Saccharomyces cerevisiae S288C: one gene and its partners. Each later gene encodes a partner of the first gene's protein in a complex. Each region holds a gene or a part of one and is shown in the gene's direction. Other genes may lie near its edges.

The links.
Region 2: RRP4 (region 1) and RRP40 share a complex: the UniProt entries of both Saccharomyces cerevisiae proteins name them as parts of the RNA exosome complex.
Region 3: the proteins of RRP4 (region 1) and SKI6 are in contact, whole or in part, in a cryo-EM structure (PDB 5G06), measured with the Saccharomyces cerevisiae proteins. Residues at the interface, in NP_011936.1 of Saccharomyces cerevisiae: Phe14 (codon at 1,928), Gln15 (codon at 1,931), Ser50 (codon at 2,036), Asp51 (codon at 2,039), Ser52 (codon at 2,042), Val55 (codon at 2,051), Thr56 (codon at 2,054), Pro57 (codon at 2,057), Gly58 (codon at 2,060), Glu59 (codon at 2,063), Tyr74 (codon at 2,108), Ser83 (codon at 2,135), Val84 (codon at 2,138), Ala85 (codon at 2,141), Leu100 (codon at 2,186), Lys101 (codon at 2,189), Gly102 (codon at 2,192), Arg103 (codon at 2,195), Ala117 (codon at 2,237), Glu118 (codon at 2,240), Lys125 (codon at 2,261), Gly130 (codon at 2,276), Lys131 (codon at 2,279), Gln132 (codon at 2,282), His133 (codon at 2,285), Asp179 (codon at 2,423), Glu311 (codon at 2,819); in NP_011711.3 of Saccharomyces cerevisiae: Ser28 (codon at 1,860), Asn30 (codon at 1,866), Thr31 (codon at 1,869), Asp37 (codon at 1,887), Tyr41 (codon at 1,899), Ile50 (codon at 1,926), Pro56 (codon at 1,944), Lys57 (codon at 1,947), Glu58 (codon at 1,950), Arg60 (codon at 1,956), Lys62 (codon at 1,962), Met65 (codon at 1,971), Met113 (codon at 2,115), Ile116 (codon at 2,124), Tyr117 (codon at 2,127), Pro118 (codon at 2,130), Arg119 (codon at 2,133), Thr120 (codon at 2,136), Ile148 (codon at 2,220), Asp149 (codon at 2,223), Ala150 (codon at 2,226), Gly151 (codon at 2,229), Ser153 (codon at 2,235), Met154 (codon at 2,238), Phe155 (codon at 2,241), Asp156 (codon at 2,244), Tyr157 (codon at 2,247), Arg225 (codon at 2,451), Asp229 (codon at 2,463), Leu232 (codon at 2,472).
Region 4: RRP4 (region 1) and RRP6 share a complex: the UniProt entries of both Saccharomyces cerevisiae proteins name them as parts of the RNA exosome complex.

The regions. Positions count from the first base shown.
Region 1 is NC_001140.6:232,187-236,546, reverse strand, and holds RRP4 (exosome non-catalytic core subunit RRP4), read left to right. Parts: upstream 1-1,888; coding exon 1,889-2,968; downstream 2,969-4,360. Other genes in the region: TRM5 (tRNA (guanine) methyltransferase), read right to left, coding at 167-1,666; DYS1 (deoxyhypusine synthase), read right to left, coding at 3,251-4,360. UniProt on the Saccharomyces cerevisiae protein: Non-catalytic component of the RNA exosome complex which has 3'->5' exoribonuclease activity and participates in a multitude of cellular RNA processing and degradation events.
Region 2 is NC_001147.6:53,061-56,780, forward strand, and holds RRP40 (exosome non-catalytic core subunit RRP40), read left to right. Parts: upstream 1-2,497; coding exon 2,498-3,220; downstream 3,221-3,720. Other genes in the region: NOP8 (Nop8p), read left to right, coding at 38-1,492; lumazine synthase RIB4, read right to left, coding at 1,535-2,044; tRNA methyltransferase PPM2, read left to right, coding at 3,392-3,720. UniProt on the Saccharomyces cerevisiae protein: Non-catalytic component of the RNA exosome complex which has 3'->5' exoribonuclease activity and participates in a multitude of cellular RNA processing and degradation events.
Region 3 is NC_001139.9:887,104-890,742, forward strand, and holds SKI6 (exosome non-catalytic core subunit SKI6), read left to right. Parts: upstream 1-1,778; coding exon 1,779-2,519; downstream 2,520-3,639. Other genes in the region: XKS1 (xylulokinase), read right to left, coding at 1-772; FYV8 (Fyv8p), read right to left, coding at 2,630-3,639. UniProt on the Saccharomyces cerevisiae protein: Non-catalytic component of the RNA exosome complex which has 3'->5' exoribonuclease activity and participates in a multitude of cellular RNA processing and degradation events.
Region 4 is NC_001147.6:324,737-330,169, forward strand, and holds RRP6 (exosome nuclease subunit RRP6), read left to right. Parts: upstream 1-2,095; coding exon 2,096-4,297; downstream 4,298-5,433. Other genes in the region: PHO80 (Pho80p), read left to right, coding at 513-1,394; ALG6 (dolichyl-P-Glc:Man(9)GlcNAc(2)-PP-dolichol alpha-1,3-glucosyltransferase), read left to right, coding at 4,681-5,433. UniProt on the Saccharomyces cerevisiae protein: Nuclear-specific catalytic component of the RNA exosome complex which has 3'->5' exoribonuclease activity and participates in a multitude of cellular RNA processing and degradation events.

The DNA.
Region 1 (4,360 bases):
TAACAGAAGACGGGTTGTGTTGTATTCAAGTAGTATGACGCATCGCGCAGTGCCCTGTCAGCCCCGCGCCTTCTCGAAGATAAAGGTGTTAGTCATCTCGTTTCTTTTTCTAATGGTCGCCTTTTTGCCTTTTTCCTCCCACGGCAAACTGCAAGAGCAGATCGCTTCATACGTTAGCTGGAAGTTGGAAACTCGCGCAATACATCGGTTTGGTGGGTGCAACTTTGCGCACCAAATGCAACGAAACGGCATTCAACGGAAGATCGTCTGCAGTGACCTTGAGCGCGGCAATAATACGGGCATGAACGCGTGCATGCAACTCGTCCTCAGTGACTTGGTCGCCAGGCGGGTACTTCTCAAAACAGTGCACGTGCACCCATGGCATTTGGATGGTATCAGTGGCGCCTTTAGTGTGTGCTGCAAAGATGCCACGGAAGTTTCCTAAGAAAGAAATGGCGCTGTCTGGTAGATTCATGACATAGTGGCTAATATGTGACGGAATGATCAGCTCTTTGGTGCGTGGTTGTGGCGGTTGTTGGTCATTGTGTTGCTGGGATCTGTGTCGTTTCTTCAAAGGCAGAGGGATCGTGATCTTGCCGCCCTCTTCATCTTGAATCCACTGTTGTAATAACTGTGGCGACTGGCGGATGAAGTCAGCGCCATCCATGTTGAAGGATTTGACGGTCTTGGCCACTTTGTTCAATGCGATGTTCTCCTTCAAGTATTTGTAACTCTCAGGATTCAAGTCGTTAGCCAAAACGATGACATCCTTCTTGCCCGCAGGTACAGCAAAGGGCCCCACGCCGGCGAAAACATCACAGACTACTTGGCCAGGCTGGAAGTACTGTTTGACGAGTCTTTCATGCTCTGTGTGCAATCGGGAGTTCCAGTACACCTTGCTAAAGTCGAATTTGAAAGTGCAGTTGGATTCCTTCTGCTCTACCACTAGACTATCGCTTTTCCCAGCAATGACTTTCATAGGAAAAGTCCTGAACTGTGTGGCAATGGAGCTGACTTTGTCCACGACACATTCGATTTTGTTGTTCTTGTCAAGGATGACTTGTCCGATGAGCGAGTCGAATGGTTTGAACTCGGTGCGCAAGTTCAAGTGGGCAATGTGGCCTGTGATTGTAAAACCCGTTGGAACCTCTTCCAGGAATTGCTCGGGCAGCACGGCTCGAAGAATCTCCTCAGCTTTCCAGAAATCATAATCGAGCACGTATTCGTGTGGTACAATTTCCGCACTGTTTTCCTTAAGAAACGCCAAGGCGTCCTCAGGCAATTTTCCATACGCATCCTCCACGCTGTGGATGGATTCGTGTAGCAGCACACCTTTCGTGACTGGGGTATTATTGCCATCTGCAGTCTTTAGTTTCTTGTTCTGTACACTTGTCAGTTCGTCCTTTGGCTTGGATGAGTTTAACTTAACAACGTGCGGGATACGGGGCACCCTCAAGATGCAATTTTTGAAGTTTTTAGAAAACACACTGATATTTTTGGGTTCGGGGAACTTGACTGCACACATTGGTATCTTGGTGATGAAAAATGACCTATCCAATTCTCGCATTTGGCGATTCACGGGTGGGTTGTATGGGAACACTCCTGACATCTTGCACGAACTGATCAATCTATTAAATTTTTGGAATACTGGCAGTGCGATTTTCATGCAATGAAAAATATCCTTACCTTTACTTATGGTTTAAACTGGTTTGTTCAAATATCCTCAGTGAATCTTTTTTTTTCTTTTTCTTCCTCAGTATGGATTGAGCGATGAGGTGAAAAAAAAAAAAAAATTAAGAAAACTAAAACAAAAGTAGAAGAAAAATATCCTTCCTTAAGTACTGCTTGCATTCTAAATCTTTGCGTAGTCACACAAGCGTAAACAGATATGTCCGAAGTTATCACAATTACCAAGCGGAACGGTGCCTTCCAAAATTCATCTAACCTGTCCTATAACAACACAGGGATATCAGATGATGAAAATGATGAAGAAGATATCTACATGCACGATGTTAACTCAGCTTCTAAAAGTGAGTCTGATTCTCAAATTGTGACGCCAGGTGAGCTGGTCACTGATGACCCTATCTGGATGAGAGGTCACGGTACGTATTTTCTTGATAATATGACGTATTCCTCTGTTGCTGGTACTGTATCCCGTGTCAATAGGCTGCTATCGGTAATTCCATTGAAAGGTCGTTATGCCCCAGAAACTGGTGATCACGTCGTAGGGAGAATTGCTGAAGTGGGTAACAAGAGATGGAAAGTAGACATTGGCGGTAAGCAACATGCAGTACTTATGTTGGGCTCTGTGAATTTACCGGGTGGTATTCTAAGAAGAAAATCTGAAAGTGATGAACTACAAATGAGAAGCTTCCTTAAGGAAGGTGACCTCCTGAATGCAGAAGTTCAATCATTATTTCAAGATGGTAGTGCCTCTTTACATACAAGGTCTCTAAAGTACGGGAAGTTAAGAAACGGGATGTTTTGCCAAGTCCCGAGTTCATTAATAGTGAGAGCCAAGAACCATACTCATAATTTGCCCGGCAACATAACCGTAGTTCTCGGAGTCAATGGTTACATATGGTTAAGGAAAACATCTCAGATGGACTTAGCGAGGGATACGCCGTCTGCAAATAACAGTTCCTCAATTAAATCAACTGGACCCACTGGTGCGGTATCATTAAATCCCTCCATAACAAGACTGGAAGAAGAGTCTTCATGGCAAATATATTCGGATGAAAACGATCCTTCCATATCGAACAACATACGACAAGCAATTTGCCGGTATGCGAACGTGATCAAAGCGTTAGCGTTCTGTGAAATAGGCATTACTCAACAACGTATAGTAAGTGCTTACGAAGCTAGTATGGTTTATTCAAACGTAGGTGAACTGATTGAGAAAAATGTAATGGAATCCATAGGCAGTGACATTCTTACCGCCGAAAAAATGAGAGGTAACGGCAACTAATAGGAATACAAAAGCCGCTGTTTACACATTTATAAACTACACAGCAGACTCCAACGCAATTTATGTGTATAAACTTACATAATGTCATGGCTATGTACACACGATTAGTACGTATAGAAATGCAATTGACTCATCTTTATTGCAGACATTACATCATATTTTGTTGATATTATAGTAATATGTTCATTTTTTTATTTATCTCTATATTAAAACAAAACTTTTGCACTAAAAAAAGAAATAGTACAGATTCATTTTTTTTTTTTTCATCTCAAAATTCTCTCATCAATTCTTAACTTTTTTGATTGGTTTACCACTGGCAAAGGTAGCAGCAACAATCAATGGAAGAACAGTGGTGACATCAGCAAAAAGTTTGACGGATTTGGCTTCAGCCTTGATCTTACCCCAAGACACAGCTTCGTCAGGTCTTGCACCTGCATCAGAACCATCGTATTCTTGACCAGTGTTAATGTAAACGGCATAATCAGCACCATTTCTCATCAAACAAGCATTGGCAATGTGGTGCTTGATCAAACCACCACCCAAGATGATCATACCGGCTCTGTAAGCGGCCATGGACATTGAATTGATTTTGCGGATATCTCCTACAATGTCAACTCTTAGTTGTTTTGGAGATGCTTTAAAAGTATGGAAAAACAACATGTCACCGATTGAACCATCAGTCAAAGATGGACAAAAGATTGGAATTTTATTCTTGTGGGCCCAGTACAATACGGAGGATTCGTCGTTGATTTCCTTACCAAAACGATCTATCATCTTAGATGGGGTCCAGATTGGTGAATCCACGTCTTGGTTAGCCTCTAAACAGTCAGCGCCATGTTTCTTTACGTATTCATCTTGTTCTTCCAACATCTTATCCAAAATTGGGACAATCCATTCTTCAAACTTACAGTAGTTATCATTTGGAACAAGCAAGTTACCAATACGATTCATACCTTGGTCACGCAAAGATTTACCTTTCAAAGCAAATTCACCCAAGTAAGTTGGAGCAAGACATTTGATCAAATCTTCTTCCACACCACCAGCAGAAGTAACGACAGCATCAACCATTTTGTGTTGCACCAAATAACGTAAAGTTTCACGTACACCGGAACTGATCAAGTTAGAAGTATAACCCATGAAGATAGTAGTCTTTTGGTACCCTTCCTCATCGAAGCAACCTTTCTTTTCATGGTCATCCAATTCGTCAATATGCTTACCTCTCCATGATCTCATACTATCAATAATCTCACAGGCAGTACCAACAGAACTAGCTTGGAAACCCATGGTCTTCATAGCTTCAATTAAATCAGTTGCTCTCATATTAGTGGCTTCAGGCTTTGAGTAATCAATACCTTGAACCTTAACGAAGTCATCTGGAATAGGAACAGATGC
Region 2 (3,720 bases), on another chromosome or scaffold:
GATTGTACCTGAAGTGAGAACTAGGTAATATACGACGATGGATAGTGTAATTCAAAAAAGAATTTTTGTCGGAAATATTTTCCATAATGCAGATGATTGTTATTCAGAACTACTAGATCGATTTGGAAAATTTGGTGATTGCCAAGATTTTCAGTTTGAAAAACACAACCACTTTGCATTTATCGATATAAGGTTTAATGATGAGGCAGATTTTAACAAGCTAAGAAAGAGCTTTAATAATGTTAAGTTTAAAGGGAACATTTTGAAGGTTGATGAAGCAAAGCCGAATTGGGAAAGCACCTGGGCGGTACAACATGCAAAGGACCTTAAAGAAGATATTATACTAAATGCTAAAATGAAAAAAAAGAATTGGCAACATTATAAGAAAATGGAAAATGTAGCGAAAAGTTGGAAAGATCATAAGGAAGTTATTGCTGGCAGAATGAGGGAGGCGCCGAGAAAAAGGAGTCAATTGAGGAACATTACATTCAGGATCAATGTCAATGGTTCATTGAAAGTTTACAAATGCTATAAGACTAAATTATGGGGTTATGAAAGGAACAAAGAATTGAATGACCTTGTGTACAAGTTTACAAATAATTTCTGGAAAAACGGATACAACCACATTGTCGATAGATTGGATTACAGTCGTGCTGTTAAAACTGTTCGATTCAAAAATGGGCTGAAACAGTTAACAGTGTCAAAAGATGAAAACGTTTGCAGTGGAGAGATGGACAGCGATGAGAATATGTCAGAAGAGGAGAAGGAGAAAAATAATGTTATTCTTAATGACCTATTAAAGGACTTTGACTTCGATAAGCCAATGACGTTGAATGATTCGGACGAGGAACTTCTGACAGAGCAACGTAAAGGAGAGGAAGAAGAAGAAGAAGAAGAAGAAAAAGAAGTAAACGCTCCCGAATACGAGAATGTTAATAAGACGAAGGACCAGAGCACCCTACCACAAGAAAAACCAGAGGAAAGGAAAGAACAGGACGAGGGCGACGGGCAGGAGGATAATGAATTTATTCCGACTTTCACCAAGGAAATTGGTCAAGGTACAATAAGCAACACTGAGACGTTAAGAAACCTATTCAACCCCAACGAGGCAGAACCTGTATCACAATTCAAATTGATTGAAGATTCTGATAATGATATTGATCATGCGAAAGATGTTGATGTGAACCAACTGGAGGAAGAAGTAAGTAAATCATCTGACACCCTAGGTTTGACATCGGCTCCCGTACCACATGTATCTAGAGATAAAGATAACAAAAATTTCTTGTTTTTCCCTCATTTGCAATCGCCATTTTTAGTAGGACAAACACAGTTGAGTAAAGTAAGGGCTCCTGGAAGAGAAACAATGCTATCGAACTGGGATGAGGAGTTCTGGGCTAACAGAGGTAATTGGACCCGTGATATGAGGCGCAAAATGAAAGATGCATTGAAGCACCGTAAGAGGAAACAATCAAAGAGCGGGCTTCTTCTATAGTGAGTATATATACATATATAGTATAGATTTCTCTGCGCTTATTCAAAAAGCATTTTTACCGAACTTAACAGCCATTTCCACTGCTGCAGCACCCCAATCTTCACCATGGTTGTGCATGGAGTGCGCTTCATCGATGCCAGCTCTGGCCAGGGCTTGTTCTTCAGTCATGCAAGTTAAGAGGCCAAAAATGACGGGCATGTCGACTTTTTCTTGTAAGTTCATCAATGCGTGAGTGGTGGAATCTGAAATGTATTCAAAGTGCATTGTACTACCTTTGATAAGTACACCAATAGGAATTACAACATCTAGCGGCTTTCCCAACTTCGCTTGTCTGTCAACAAACCTTTTTGTCCCCCAAGGTAATTCATAGGATCCAGGAACAGTTTCAATTATTATGTTATTTTCCTCGACACCAAGGGAAGCCATTCTTTCAATAGCACCTTTCACAAGAGCGTCAATAATGACACGGTTCCAACGGGCATGAATGATACCGACCCTGATTTTGGAACCGTCATAAACTTGATCTGGTTTGCCTAATCCTTTAACTGCCATACTGCGTTATACTGCGTTATACTGCGTTATACTGCGTTATACTGTTCCTTTTCATGCTTTTGAACCCACTCTCTGGGGCAATATTTCATTGTTCTCTTTTATATGGCTACTTTTCTCTTATTAACGGGGACCTCCGAAAATATCTCCGCTCCCAGAATATGTCATAGAGCCTTAAGAATTGACCTACGGGAACCTCCGAAAACCTCCCAGAGTTTTAATTATACGTCATAGAACCCCAGACCTCTTCGATGAAGTTTCGTGGAAACTAGTTCCATCCACCTCACTTAAAGTTACCTTAATGAAAGCCATCATTGTTTACTAGTAAGGGTAGTGGTGTGACCCGGACCTGATCGGCTGAAATTTTTTGGTTTAGAGAAGCATATTAAACCAACAGCACAAACGGATGCTTCAGCAGCTCATCTCCAGCATTTCGACTAACCAAGAGCATACAAGATGTCTACGTTCATATTCCCTGGTGATAGCTTTCCTGTAGACCCTACTACACCTGTTAAACTGGGCCCTGGCATATATTGTGACCCCAATACTCAAGAAATACGACCTGTTAATACAGGTGTTTTGCATGTTTCCGCTAAGGGTAAGAGTGGTGTTCAGACCGCATATATAGACTATTCTAGTAAGAGATACATTCCATCTGTAAACGATTTTGTAATCGGTGTCATTATAGGGACATTTTCAGATAGCTATAAGGTTTCGTTGCAAAATTTCTCCTCCAGTGTTTCACTATCGTATATGGCTTTTCCCAATGCTTCAAAGAAAAACAGGCCAACTTTGCAAGTGGGAGATCTAGTGTATGCGAGAGTTTGTACCGCAGAAAAGGAACTAGAAGCCGAAATAGAATGTTTTGACTCAACTACAGGACGCGATGCTGGTTTCGGGATATTGGAAGATGGTATGATCATTGACGTGAATTTGAATTTCGCACGCCAGTTGCTTTTCAATAATGACTTCCCGTTATTAAAAGTGTTGGCTGCACATACCAAGTTTGAAGTCGCCATTGGTCTCAATGGGAAGATCTGGGTTAAGTGCGAGGAATTATCTAACACTTTAGCTTGTTATAGAACCATAATGGAGTGTTGTCAAAAAAACGACACGGCAGCGTTCAAGGATATAGCAAAAAGACAGTTTAAAGAAATACTTACGGTCAAGGAGGAGTAGACTACCATGTATAATTAAAATATATAAACACATAGATATCATCAATATTTCACGTCCTTTTTTAATGTCCTTTGAAAAAGCGAAGGAAAAAAAGTTTCATCTCATCTCATCTCATCACATCTAACATATGGCCATAAAATTTCGACAACTATAGTGCACATATCTAATACGATGAAGAATCTGACCACTATAAAGCAAACGAACAAGAATGTCAAACAAGAAAGACGTAAAAAGTACGCTGATTTGGCGATTCAAGGCACAAATAACTCCTCAATTGCTTCTAAAAGATCGGTAGAGTTATTGTATTTGCCAAAACTGAGTTCGGCTAATAATTTCCAAATGGATAAGAATAATAAACTGTTGGAATATTTTAAATTCTTTGTTCCTAAGAAAATTAAAAGATCTCCCTGTATTAACAGAGGTTATTGGTTGAGGTTATTTGCCATCAGGTCAAGATTGAACTCCATCATTGAACAAACGCCACAGGATAAAAAGATAGT
Region 3 (3,639 bases), on another chromosome or scaffold:
TATCCTTAGAAGAACTATCAATTAGATGTAGTAGCTCATCACTGAATTTTCTTTCACGTATATCATAAAGGTTCATACCACAGGCATCTGCCTCCTCTAATTCAACAAGATGGCCCACTAAGATAGAAGTCAAAAAATTAGACACTAAAGAAATGGTCTTTGTTTTTTCGTAAGCTTCTGGTTCTAATTGTGCAATTTTCAGAATTTGAGGACCAGTAAATCTAAAATGGGCTCTGGACCCTGTTAATTGAGCCATTTTTTCAGGCCCACCTATGCACTCTTCAAACTCTTGACATTGCTTTGCAGTACTGTGGTCTTGCCAATTGGGGGCGGTTTGCCTTGCAAATGCTACAGAGCTCACGTAGTGCAATAAATCTTTTTCCGGTTTCTTATTCAATTGCTCTAACAGAGATTCGGCTTGGGAGGACCAGTAGACAGACCCGTGCTGCTGGCAGGACCCTGAGACGGCCATAACTTTGTTCAATGGAAATTTAGCCTCGCGATATTTCGAGAGAACCAGATCTAGAGCCTCTAACCACATGGCTACGGGACATTCGATAGTGTCGCCGTGTATATAGACACCCTTCTTTGTGTGATAATGCGGAAGATCCTTTTCAAATTCCACTGTTTCTGAATGGACAATTTTTAGGTCCTGGTTAATGGCGAGACATTTCAGTTGTTGGGTCGAAAGATCAAACCCAAGATAGTATGAGTCTAAAGACATTGTGTTGGAAACCTCTCTTGTCTGTCTCTGAATTACTGAACACAACATTAAAGTACTAATCTCATCCTCCTTTTGTTTTTCTCGAGAGGGCCCCCTTATTCGTCCGCCTGAGATTGCATTGGCCGAATTGAAAAGTGACAGTTATGCACCTCAGCGGCTATTCCCTGCGTCGCTTGCTGAAGATTGAGGATTATAGGAAGTAGTAAGCTGGAAATGGTAATTTGTAAAAAGAAAATTTCTAATACTGTGACAATGTTATTAAATCGGGGTTGTTTTTGTTTGGGGCGGCCAGCGGAATAATTTGTTTTCAAGGACAGCAGAAGCTCAGAAGAACAAAATCTCCGTGATCTTTTAAACTTTTTTCCATTCTGATGGAATAATGGTCTTGATCCCCTAAATATTTCCTTTTTTATTGCAATTATGATAGAAATTAATAGTAGTCTATGCTGGATGATATATATATCTCTTTTGAGCTTGCTTCAAATTTTTTCCCGTTATAATGATGAGTGTTTTGCTTATTAAGGGTCTAGGACATTTCTATCAGTTTCTATACCAAAAGAAGAAAAAGTGGAGAATTGTTTGTTTATTTTAATATTTTGTTCTTTAGTTTTAAAAATTCAGAAGAGAAAAAAATTTTATTTGTCACAAGGAAATAAAACATAAACAAAAAAGAAAAATTAAGATTTGCAATTCTGCCGCTTAAGCAAAAGTAGATCATTCACTGGAATATATATATATAAACGCATTTATAATCTTGTAACGTGCACTCAATTTAGCTACGAAAGCCAACCAGCAAGGAACCTTTTATTTGAGTAGGTACATTTACATCTTCGGGTAACGCGGTGAAATTGAAAAATTTTAAGGCATTAATAATTGAAAAGCTAGAAGAAATGGATGAATGAATGACATTGCGAACCATTGTGCAATGAACATCATCCAAAAGAAAACATCATTTACACATATTTTCTTTCCAGGGTCCCACTGGTAAAATCTATTAACATATAAAAAGATTTACAAAAAAACTTTAGTGCCATAACTACAGCAGGATCATCATATGTCAAGACTAGAAATATACTCGCCAGAAGGGCTACGTCTCGATGGACGTCGATGGAATGAACTCCGCCGTTTTGAAAGTTCCATCAACACACATCCGCACGCTGCAGACGGTTCATCCTACATGGAACAAGGTAACAACAAAATTATCACTCTTGTTAAAGGTCCAAAAGAGCCAAGATTGAAATCTCAAATGGATACCTCAAAGGCTTTATTGAACGTATCGGTAAACATTACAAAATTCTCCAAATTCGAAAGAAGTAAATCAAGCCACAAGAATGAAAGGCGTGTTCTTGAGATACAAACCTCCCTGGTGAGGATGTTTGAGAAGAATGTCATGCTGAATATCTACCCCAGAACAGTTATCGATATCGAGATCCATGTCCTTGAGCAAGATGGCGGTATTATGGGATCTTTAATCAACGGTATTACCCTCGCTTTAATAGATGCCGGTATATCAATGTTCGATTACATAAGTGGTATATCCGTCGGGCTGTACGATACTACCCCATTATTAGATACCAATTCATTAGAAGAAAATGCTATGAGTACAGTGACACTAGGTGTGGTAGGGAAGTCAGAAAAACTTTCTCTTTTATTGGTGGAAGACAAAATTCCGTTAGATAGGTTAGAGAACGTTCTTGCCATCGGCATCGCAGGTGCTCATAGGGTAAGAGATTTGATGGATGAAGAACTGAGGAAACATGCTCAGAAAAGAGTCAGTAACGCCTCTGCTAGGTAGAATAAAAAACGCCATTAATTGCCACTGTTTATATAAAAGTACATAAAAAACAGTAAAATTGAAAATTGAACGCATTTACATTTTCGTGTTTCTACCGTAAAGCAAAACGCTTACAGTTTTTTCTTACCTATTGATGCGAATAAATCCTTTGGTTTCATAGAATGCTGGAAAACTTTTCTCCTTAAGTGCGTTACATTTTGGTTGACACTAGCAACCGTGTTAATGACAGTATGCTTCTTACTCAAATCGTCCGCGTTCGCATATGCTTCCCTAACGTGACTATGCTGCTTATACTCCTCAGCTATGAAATCCTTATCCTTATTAGAGGATGATTTTAGCGTATAATTTATCCATGTTTGTATCCCCGTATCATATTCATCTAGCTCACGCTTATAATTTCTCAACTGTTCTATCTTACCGGCGTGCGAAGTCTTACTGTTCAGTAGTTTATTCATATCTAATTTCGGTAAGTTATTCTGCTGCCCCAATTTCGCCATTTCTTCAGTACTGGGTTCATGGACGCTTGTCATTTCGCCTTGAGATACTGTTCTGTTTTCACTTTTGAAAGATGCACTGCGCGCTGCCAAATCATTGGCAGTATTGTTACTATTATCATTATCTGTTGTACTATTATCGTTTCCTGCATTTAATTGTTCCTGTGCGTCCATCGGTAGAGGTGGCAAATTCGATTGGTTACCAATCAAACCGGGAACATTATAAATCGTATTGTTGTCGTATATAGTCTTAGTGTCCCTGATTGTCTCCAAATCGTCATCTTCGCCTTTGGAAGGGAATGCATCCCAAGTACTCTCCATCTCTGAATAAGTCGATACAACACGTGGTTTCATACTAGCAGGTGTTAAATCTACTAGCTTCCCGTTAGAATCGATCACGTAACCTGGTGGCGCTTTCTTATTGGCTGTATCCTGTACGAACCCTGATCGTAAGGCCTCACTGTCCGGCTTCCAAGAATCAACATCAGTGGAGTCTTTAACTGAACTTTCTTCCAAAACTTTGTCTTCATTTATGTGGTCTTCCTCATCGCTGCCATCGCTGTTTTCCAATTCAGAACCGCTATTTGACAAATTGGTATTTTCAATGGTGTCTATTTGATTAGGTT
Region 4 (5,433 bases), on another chromosome or scaffold:
TATGGAAAATATGAATGAGGCGAACGTGCTTGTACCATAGTCAGATTTTAACCCGTAGGTGAGAGCCTGAGGCTTCTGTAAACCACCTTGGAAACACATACGGGTTATAAGATTTTAACAAACAATCAGTCTCCATACTCATCCTAGGATCTCTTCTTCATTTGATGAATAAAGGATTCAAACTTCAGAAAGTTATTCAGCGTATATTGGCTTTCCTTTAATCTAATGCCCCAAGCCATCATAAATAGCCATATTACTTTGAAAGTGCTCATCCGTATACACTGCAACTTTTCTTCTTTTCTCTTTAGCCGATTATAGCTCCTACCTGTTTTTTTTTTCTTCTTAAGATTATTTATATTCCAATTTTATCATCCGTATTGTTTCCAATAGCGTTCCAGTGATCAGTTATATACTTCGAGAGGCAGATAACCTTTCTTTTTATAAGTGTTTATCAAATTTAAGTCTGCAAGCTATCATAAGACGAGGATATCCTTTGGAGACTCATAGAAATCATGGAAAGCACATCAGGAGAACGTTCCGAAAATATACATGAGGATCAAGGGATACCAAAAGTAATTCTGCCCGCTGATTTTAATAAATGCTCTAGAACTGACCTAGTGGTGCTCATATCACGAATGTTAGTATCGCTGATAGCAATCAATGAAAATTCAGCAACAAAGAAATCTGATGACCAAATTACTTTAACACGATACCATTCTAAGATTCCTCCAAACATATCAATCTTCAACTATTTCATACGACTGACAAAGTTTTCCTCTTTAGAACATTGTGTGCTTATGACATCACTCTATTATATCGATTTATTGCAAACTGTGTATCCTGATTTTACGCTTAATTCGTTGACTGCCCATAGGTTTTTATTAACAGCCACCACAGTCGCAACAAAAGGCTTATGTGATTCGTTCTCAACAAACGCCCATTATGCAAAAGTTGGAGGAGTACGATGTCACGAATTGAATATACTGGAGAACGATTTTTTAAAGAGAGTAAACTACAGAATCATTCCGCGGGATCATAACATTACGTTATGTAGTATAGAGCAAAAACAGAAAAAGTTTGTCATAGATAAAAACGCATTAGGGTCTCTCGATTTGGATTCTTATTCTTACGTTAATCGTCCAAAAAGTGGATATAATGTTCTAGATAAATACTATCGAAGAATAGTTCAGCTGGTGGGTTCCTTTAACGCTTCACCTGATAAGAGTAGAAAGGTTGATTATGTTCTCCCGCCAAATATTGATATAGTGAGTGAAAGTGGCTCCCAAACTACTCAACTAAAGGGGTCGTCATCACCCAATTCTCACTCTTCACAAAAGCGATATTCTGAGGCAAAGGACGCACATATCTATAACAAGCGATCAAAGCCAGATTAATGATTTTTCGTGGGGTATTATGAAAGCAATCATGATTGAGCAAAATTAAAACTTTCCATTTGTACATATATATATATATATATATATATATCTGTGTGTGTATAATAAGCAATTGGCCATCATTTGGCTAAAAAGTTCAAGATTTCAGGTAGTATATAAGAGAATAACTTCCCTCTTTTGCTAAAGAAGGATATGTTCTATTTCAGCCTTTTTGCATCATAAGAGCATAAGCGACAGAAAACACTTCGAGATGAGCTTGAGAACTCCATTTCAATTAACTTGATAAATACATGTAGATTCATATCATCACTGTTCTTTTCAGATACTAGTTTCAAAACTTCCTTGACAGAACCATTTCATGTTCAATAATGAAAATTACTTTCACATGTTTTAGTGGAAAAATACTGAACAATGAAATTTCAATATCGCATATAATAATTTTTGTTATCAAATATATATTTTTCGGAAGTCATATACATTAAATAATTAAAACATTATTTTTAAAAATTAAAAAAATATATTTTAGCAAATAGTTTTTACTTTTTTTTAAATGCAAAATAAGTTCACGTGATATTATTAATAATATTTTACCCAAAAATATGAGGGCATCGGAAAATTTTTCAGTAATGAATATTAATGTTCATCTGAAGATAGACGAAATAGGAACAACAAACAGCTTATAAGCACCCAATAAGTGCGTTATGACTTCTGAAAATCCGGATGTACTTTTATCTAGGGTGATAAATGTGGTGAGAGCAGCATCATCGTTAGCCAGTCAAGATGTAGACTTTTACAAGAATTTAGACAGGGGATTTAGTAAAGATCTGAAATCAAAAGCAGACAAACTTGCGGATATGGCGAATGAAATAATCCTCTCTATTGATGAGCATCATGAATCATTTGAACTTAAAGAAGAGGACATTTCTGACTTGTGGAACAACTTTGGAAACATCATGGATAATTTGTTAGAAATGTCAGACCATTCGCTGGATAAGCTGAATTGTGCAATAAACTCAAAGTCAAGAGGTTCCGATCTTCAGTATTTAGGCGAATTTTCAGGAAAGAATTTTTCTCCCACCAAAAGAGTCGAAAAACCTCAGTTGAAATTTAAAAGTCCAATTGATAACAGCGAAAGTCATCCGTTCATACCTTTATTGAAGGAAAAACCAAATGCTTTGAAGCCACTCTCTGAGAGTTTGAGGTTGGTTGATGATGATGAAAATAACCCCAGTCACTACCCCCATCCTTATGAATATGAGATTGATCATCAAGAGTATAGTCCAGAAATTCTCCAAATTAGAGAGGAGATTCCCTCAAAATCCTGGGATGATTCGGTACCAATTTGGGTAGATACAAGTACAGAACTCGAATCAATGTTGGAGGACTTGAAAAATACGAAAGAGATTGCCGTTGATCTTGAGCATCACGATTATAGGTCATACTATGGTATTGTTTGCCTCATGCAAATTAGTACAAGGGAAAGGGATTATTTAGTTGATACTCTAAAACTTCGCGAAAATTTACATATTCTGAACGAAGTGTTTACGAACCCTTCAATTGTGAAAGTTTTTCACGGTGCATTCATGGATATTATTTGGCTTCAGCGAGATTTAGGTTTGTATGTCGTTGGTCTCTTCGATACTTACCATGCGTCTAAAGCAATCGGTCTTCCTAGACATAGTTTGGCCTATCTTTTGGAGAATTTTGCCAATTTTAAAACTTCAAAGAAATATCAGTTGGCTGACTGGCGTATAAGACCGCTTTCAAAACCCATGACGGCATATGCTAGAGCAGATACTCACTTTTTACTAAATATATATGACCAGTTGAGAAACAAACTTATCGAGTCTAATAAGTTAGCAGGTGTTCTTTATGAATCAAGAAATGTCGCAAAAAGAAGGTTTGAATATTCAAAGTACAGACCACTGACACCTTCTTCAGAAGTTTATTCTCCAATCGAAAAAGAGAGTCCTTGGAAAATATTGATGTATCAGTACAACATACCACCTGAGAGGGAAGTATTAGTAAGAGAGCTATACCAATGGAGAGATCTTATTGCAAGAAGAGACGATGAATCGCCACGATTTGTTATGCCAAACCAGTTATTGGCTGCACTTGTCGCATATACACCTACTGATGTCATAGGTGTTGTTTCTTTGACCAATGGCGTAACTGAACATGTCCGCCAGAATGCAAAACTATTAGCTAATTTGATAAGAGATGCATTACGAAACATCAAGAACACCAATGAGGAAGCTACTCCCATTCCATCTTCCGAGACCAAAGCAGACGGAATATTGTTGGAGACTATAAGTGTTCCTCAAATCCGTGATGTTATGGAAAGGTTTTCGGTGTTGTGCAACAGCAATATTTCCAAGAGCCGAGCCAAGCCTGTCACTAATTCTTCTATTCTGTTGGGTAAGATTTTACCACGTGAGGAGCATGATATTGCATATAGCAAAGACGGCTTGCCAAATAAAGTGAAGACGGAAGATATCAGGATCCGAGCACAAAATTTCAAGTCTGCCTTAGCAAACTTGGAGGATATCATATTCGAAATAGAGAAACCTCTCGTTGTTCCTGTCAAGCTAGAGGAGATTAAGACAGTAGACCCTGCGAGCGCACCTAATCACTCGCCTGAGATTGATAATCTTGATGATCTTGTTGTTTTAAAGAAGAAAAACATTCAAAAGAAACAACCAGCAAAGGAAAAAGGTGTAACGGAAAAAGATGCTGTGGATTATTCAAAAATTCCGAATATCTTATCTAATAAGCCTGGCCAAAATAATAGACAACAAAAGAAAAGGAGATTCGACCCATCATCTAGCGATAGTAATGGACCAAGGGCAGCTAAAAAGAGGAGGCCTGCCGCCAAAGGTAAGAATCTGTCATTTAAAAGGTGATTATGTAAAACAAGCGTATTTTTTTATTTATAAATTATGGTAATTTTCATTTAAGACCTCTAAATTCATCTAATCGAATATCTGTGTCATGGAGTTATGGCTCCCCCATGCACACCATTTTCTCTTTTTTTGTTTCTGTGTTTCCCTTCATCTCCTTTATTATGAAAAGTACAAGTTTTATATAATTTCAACGTCGGAGGTTATCCGGAAATCTATAGTTGAATTTTTGCAGGATTATACTTCGCTCGAATATTGTGCGTGTTAAATACTCAGCGAGAACAATACTTCCAAGTTAGAAAAGGGATTTGCTCATGTTAAAGCAATGGCACTCCGAATGGACGGTGTCAGGAATTCTTTTCTTCACATCAGGCTTCGCATAGAAAATGGCCATTGGCAAAAGGTTACTGGTGAACAAACCAGCAGAAGAATCATTTTATGCTTCTCCAATGTATGATTTTTTGTATCCGTTTAGGCCAGTGGGGAACCAATGGCTGCCAGAATATATTATCTTTGTATGTGCTGTAATACTGAGGTGCACAATTGGACTTGGTCCATATTCTGGGAAAGGCAGTCCACCGCTGTACGGCGATTTTGAGGCTCAGAGACATTGGATGGAAATTACGCAACATTTACCGCTTTCTAAGTGGTACTGGTATGATTTGCAATACTGGGGATTGGACTATCCACCATTAACAGCATTTCATTCGTACCTTCTGGGCCTAATTGGATCTTTTTTCAATCCATCTTGGTTTGCACTAGAAAAGTCACGTGGCTTTGAATCCCCCGATAATGGCCTGAAAACATATATGCGTTCTACTGTCATCATTAGCGACATATTGTTTTACTTTCCTGCAGTAATATACTTTACTAAGTGGCTTGGTAGATATCGAAACCAGTCGCCCATAGGACAATCTATTGCGGCATCAGCGATTTTGTTCCAACCTTCATTAATGCTCATTGACCATGGGCACTTTCAATATAATTCAGTCATGCTTGGCCTTACTGCTTATGCCATAAATAACTTATTAGATGAGTATTATGCTATGGCGGCCGTTTGTTTTGTCCTATCCATTTGTTTTAAACAAATGGCATTGTATTATGCACCGATTTTTTTTGCTTATCTATTAAGTCGATCA